Kluyveromyces lactis: one gene and its partner. The protein of the gene in region 1 purifies or fractionates together with the protein of each later gene. This does not show direct contact. Links are inferred from orthologs where the notes say so. Each region holds a gene or a part of one and is shown on either strand. Other genes may lie near its edges.

Evidence for each region.
Region 2: the proteins of FAF1 (region 1) and ENP1 purify together in Saccharomyces cerevisiae (affinity purification with mass spectrometry; 4 studies listed by BioGRID). This does not show direct contact. The link is inferred for Kluyveromyces lactis from reciprocal best matches to the Saccharomyces cerevisiae genes FAF1 and ENP1.

The regions. Positions count from the first base shown.
Region 1 is NC_006040.1:1,360,119-1,362,843, reverse strand, and holds FAF1 (Faf1p), read left to right. Parts: upstream 1-1,199; coding exon 1,200-2,225; downstream 2,226-2,725. Other genes in the region: DNA-directed RNA polymerase II core subunit RPB3, read left to right, coding at 1-35; 1-(5-phosphoribosyl)-5- ((5-phosphoribosylamino)methylideneamino)imidazole-4-carboxamide isomerase HIS6, read right to left, coding at 283-1,086. UniProt on the Saccharomyces cerevisiae protein: Required for pre-rRNA processing and 40S ribosomal subunit assembly. Seems to act in the processing of 35S rRNA at the A(0), A(1), and A(2) cleavage sites.
Region 2 is NC_006042.1:637,427-640,547, forward strand, and holds ENP1 (snoRNA-binding rRNA-processing protein ENP1), read left to right. Parts: upstream 1-1,184; coding exon 1,185-2,621; downstream 2,622-3,121. Other genes in the region: SRM1 (Ran guanyl-nucleotide exchange factor), read right to left, coding at 1-517; SNAP receptor USE1, read right to left, coding at 2,835-3,121. UniProt on the Saccharomyces cerevisiae protein: Required for normal export of the pre-40S particles from the nucleus to the cytoplasm.

The DNA.
Region 1 (2,725 bases):
CAGTAGGAGGCTCAGGATACGATGATGCATGGTGAGACAAGACAACAAGAAAAAGCTACCACAATTATCGTGAAAGGCAACGATTTTTCTATAATTCATTGACGAAACACAAGGCATATATTCCTTAATACTAGCATACTCAAAGGCACTAGCAGCATCTGCTACCATCCAATCTACCACGTCCGTTCAAAAGTTGAACGGTCAAAAATGTTTCAATATCTCTATCTCTATATAGAATGTTTATTTCCATCGAAAGTGTAACTATTAGACAAAGACTGGAAGCTAAGCGTGTTTCTCATGGTTCCATTGGACACAGTCCTCGAACTTTACAAGGGATCCACCAAAAATATCAAGAGCACTACCAAAGGTCAAATCAATTTTGCCATGACTCAATTTCTCTACTAGCCTTAAATCATCCACACTCTTAGCGCCGCCTGCGTATACGATTTTCACTTTTGGAATATCCGCAGTCCATTTGTACAAATGAGCCACTAGCTCTTCATCAATCCCATTACATAGACCCTCTACATCTGCTGCATGAACCAAGAATTCATCGGTATATTGACAAAGATCAGCGAAAGTTCTTTCGTTTAGCTCCAAATCAGTAAGGGTCTGCCATTTATTCATAGCAACGACCCACTTTGGCTCTTGATCCGGTTTCGTGACACGTTTGCATGAGAGATCTACCACTAAACGGTCCTTACCACATATTTCAGCCAATTTCACCAATTTCTCACGTTGGAACTGATATGTACTCTTATCGAAAAGAAAAGACGTTACTATAATCTTGGAAGCATACTTTAACCAGTATCCACAGTTATCCAGGGTGATACCACCACCTACTTGTAAAAAATTAGGACATTCGTTCAATGCTTCTAATGCTGCCTCATCGTTATTGGGACCCAGCTTAATAACGTGACATCCCTCGACCTGATTCTCATGGTATAGCTTCGCATAATGAGAAGGTGGTAATTTCGATACGAAATTCGTAGTAACTTTATCTTTGGACGAATCAGTAAGCGTACCACCCACGATTTGTTTCACCTGCCCATCGTGCAAATCAATGCACCCGACAAACTTAGTCATTGTAGCCTGGTGTACTTTGCTTACGTGCTTTACATCAGTTGACTCTTGGTCTTGCCCAGGTAATTCTTGATATCCATTGAATAAAAAAGCACGGTGAAAAATTTCGATGCGCGATGAGCTCTACATGGTCATCACATGAACAGCACCAGATGCAAATAACTCGACCCAAACAAGATATCGCAGGCTCCAACAACATGGACGACGAGTATATGAAACAGCTAGAAGCTCAGCGTCTTGCCTTTGAGGCACAGTTTGGGACTCTGGAGAGCATGGGCTTCGAGGACAAGACCAAGAATGCACATAGCGATGACGATGACGATAATGTTAGTCAGTCTGAATCAGAGGACGAGAAGGAAAGTGAGTCTGCATCTGGTTCTGACACATCGTTCTATGGGTTCGACGAGATAGAGGAGTCAGATCTTGAAGAAGACTTGCCTGAAAAGAAGCAACCCGTCAGACAACCAAGAGTGGTTAAATTCCAAGAAGAACAAAACGAATACAAACCTAGCAAGAAAGAACAAAGGTTAATACGAAGCGGGAAGGCCCCAACGGTACGAGCCTTAGAGACAGCGGGTCAGAATGCAGCTGCAGATTCTGACTCGGATTCTGATCAGGAGAGAGACAACCTACGAAACGATATAGAATTACAACGGTTCCTAAAGGAATCGCATCTCATCAGTGCGTTCCAAACTGACAAAGATACAATACACGATTCCGAATTGCACGGCAAGGCTCGTGCCAGAACCCTAGAGACAAGACTTCAATCGCTGTCCCAGATCAACGCGGTGCAGCACAAGAACCTCGAATCGATGCCCATGAACATACGGAAGGGTATGATCAAGAAGCATACGGGACGTATCACTAAATACGAACAAGAAGCACGTGACGCAGGAACGGTGTTGTCACGTGTATCACGCGGAGAGTTCCGTCGCATCGAGTCCACATACAAGAACGACATCGAGAGACGTATTGGACGTGGGAAGCTAAAAAAGAGATCGGGTGCCATTAGAGACTTCGGATTGAAGGTACAGAGCGTGGGTCATAGCACTCGTAACGGATTGAAGTTGAGTGCTGCGGATATCGCCAAAATAAAGGGAGCAAGTGAAACGACGTGGCTTGCACGTGCTGACAAGAATTGAGATCGGGATTATTATATAATTTACAAGCTGCATATATAAACGGCACCGCACGTGCGGTACCAGCTATTCAATCATTCATTCAATCAATCAATCAAATACAGAATTGTGGAGTCTCTGAAGGGGCCTCTAAGGGCCCCTTCTGTGATCTCCAATTGAATCAACAAGCAATCATTTCACAAATCACCTACTTACTCACGATTTGCCTAGAACCCAGCTTCATGTAATCATGTAATCGGAAATTTCAGACCGTATTTTATCCCTCGAGCCAATTCCAATAGCATTCAGCTTAGATATTGCCAGAGACAGGCCAAGTAAGAATAAATGTAGTCATCGCGAGTTGACAAAAGGGAACATATATATATGTCCCACGTGGTGTTACCCGGACCCCAAACAAGCAACGGACGTCAGTTTTAAAATGCATACTCTGGATTGTAACCACCCCGTTAAACGTTGGGAATTGGCCAGCCCAATTCCCAGAGAGGGCTGCTAGAGTGCTATCC
Region 2 (3,121 bases), on another chromosome or scaffold:
GATTGTCTGTGGCAGCAATCTGTACACATCTTAATTCGTCCAATGGTAAAGAGTCTCTAGGAATTTTAGTTGGAGTGGATTCAATTTCGTTGAGGTCACCATCTTCATCATCATCACTATCATTTGCATCCATATCTTTCAATTTTTCTACAGCTCCGCTAGTGTCTCTACCCAAAGCACCTGAGTCGTTAGTCCCCCACGACCAGATGTTATTGTCAGCGTCTAGCGCTAGGGTGTGCATTCCACCTGCAGCAAAAGACACAATTTTAGCCTCATCACGGGGCAAAAGGGGATTGAGTCTAGGTCTCTTAACTTCTTTGTTTTTAGCTAGAGGACCCAAGCCTAGTTCACACATTGATCCAGTTCCCCATACAAAAATGTCAAGTGGAACAACAGATCTATACAAATGTTTATAATCATCTTGAGAATTGATGCTAACAAACTTATGATTCAAAGTAGAGTGTAAATGCTTCCTTTTAACTGGAGTGTTCGCTACACTAGAAGATCTTTTAGACATGATTTCTTCAGTAACTGGTGGTCAATTAAAAGATTAATTGGAAGGGCCTAGTCTAATGTTAATTGTAACTTTGCTAAGATTGCAAGGAACGAAAAAAACGGAAATGAACACTTGGTTTTTGATCAATCGATAAGTACAACTCAAGGGAGAAGCTTGAGTGAACAAGAGACCAGCAATGTGTCACCACGCATATGAGATCACATTACACTTGATCCATTGTTAATTATATATACGTAAAACGAATCTAAGCTGCAGTTGAAAAATCTTTCCAGATTTTAAAGTCACGTGCAAAACAAACAACATTCTTTGCCTGTAATCATTAGAAGAACATAGCTCTTGGCTGTTTACAGTAGCTTGAATTTGTGTTCAACGCTGTGGCATATCTGTTTCAATCACGACGATCCCGCTGCCAATGCTCCAGAGTTATTTAATTGAACCTTTGACTTCTCTAAACAGAGTATCTCTAGCCTTTCTTTTTCTGTCCGTGCATTGACTGAAAATTTTTGGGATTTGAATAAGTAACGATGAGATGAGAAGCGATGAGATGAGATGAGATGAGATGAGATGAGGTAAATGGCAGATAACAATCACAAAATTACTCATTAGTGTCTGCTTTAGTGCTCAGAATACGACTAGTGATACAAGATTTATTTGTTCTACGGAGAAAATGGGTAAAGTAATGGGTGGCAGCGGTCGTAAACAGAGACACGATCCTTTATTGAACGATCTTGACTCTCAACATGGTAAGTTGAAAAGACAAGGTAAGAAAAAGATCGATGCTAAGGATCAAAAAGGCCATGAAGATGAAGAATTTGTCGATGCCCAGCAATCTAGAAAAATTTTGCAATTAGCTAGGGAACAGCAGGAAGAATTAGAGGAAGAGGACGAGCAGTCTCTGCAGACATCCAGCCAAGGAATAAACAGATTCTGTGTGGCCAACTATGCGGATGAAGATGATGTAGCTGAGGAAGAGGAAGCTCAAGGTAATAACATATCTGACTTTGAACCGGAAGATGAAGACGATTTCGAAGGATACGAGGAGGAAGAAGTGGTAGAAATTGACGAAGAAGATGCTGAAATGTTTGACCAATATTTCAAGACTTCTGCTGATTTCAACTCTGCCAATGGATCATATAACCTTGCCGATAAGATTATGGCTTCTATTAGAGAAAAAGAGATGGAACTACAGTATAATGAAGAAGAAGCAGGTGATGCCTCTGCAGTAGCGGAACCAGCTGCACCTGTAGATCGTACAGAAGGTGTCGCCTTACCACCCAAGGTGATTCAAGCATACCTTGCCGTTGGTACCATTATGCAGACCTGGAGACATGGTAAACTACCCAAACTATTCAAAGTTTTGCCTTCTCTAAATAACTGGCAAGATGTTCTCTATGTTACTAATCCAGAGGAATGGTCTCCGCATGCTATATACGAAGGTACTAAACTTTTTGTTTCTAACTTATCATCTAAAGAGGCCCAAAAATTCGTTATAGCTGTGTTGTTACCACGCTTCAGAGAAGAAATTGAATTTAACGAAGATCACAACTTAAATTACCATGTCTACCGTGCATTAAAGAAATCATTGTATAAACCGGCTGCCTTTTTCAAAGGGTTCTTATTCCCACTTGTGGAATCCGGTTGTAATGTTAGAGAAGCTACCATTGCTGCAAGTGTGTTATCCAAGGTCTCTGTGCCAGCTCTTCATTCTGCTGCAGCATTGTCCTACCTTTTAAGATTACCTTTTTCCCCAGCCACCACCGTTTTCATCAAAATTCTACTCGAGAAGAAGTATGCTTTGCCTTATCAAACTGTTGACGAATGTGTCTTCTACTTCATGAGATTCAGAGAAGTCACTGATGGAAGTACAGGCCAAGATGCCGTCAGAGTCTTACCTGTGGTATGGCATAAAGCTTTCTTAGCGTTTGCTCAACGTTATAAGAATGATATTACCCAAGATCAAAGAGATTTCCTACTTGAAACTGTTCGTCAAAGAGGTCACAAAGAAATTGGACCTGAAATCAGAAGAGAATTATTAGCCGGTGATAGTAGAGAATTTGTCAGTGATGTTGGTAATAAAGCTGATTTAATGTTTGATGTTCTGTAGTCAATAGTCCTATAACAATATAAGTGCCTGTCAATTTTAAACAAGTGTATAATATGCAATTATAGATAAGACAATCAATAGAATCAATCTATTCGATAAGTGGAAACGGTATCAATTAATTTCATCGAATATTCATGAGTCTATTTTGTACTTTGAAGCTTTTGAGTGAAGCAGAGCCTTTATCTAAATCTTGGAGATTTTAGCGGAAGACACTCATAAATCTGGAAATACTTTTATTACAAGATAGGTGACCAATAGACCAATTATAATAAACGATAAAAGTCCTAACTTCATTAAAAATCCAATTTTTTCATTGTGATACTTTTTCAATCTGGATCCGAGTGAAGAAAGGCTCTTAGAAGTAACATGCAATCCGATTTCTGCTGCCTTAAGAACAGTAGAGTCGTGTTCGATAGCATTCTGGAAAGCTTCCGCACCTTGTCTTAAGCCTGAAACTAGCTGGGACATGTCTTCAACCAGTTCCTTCTGAAGATCATCCT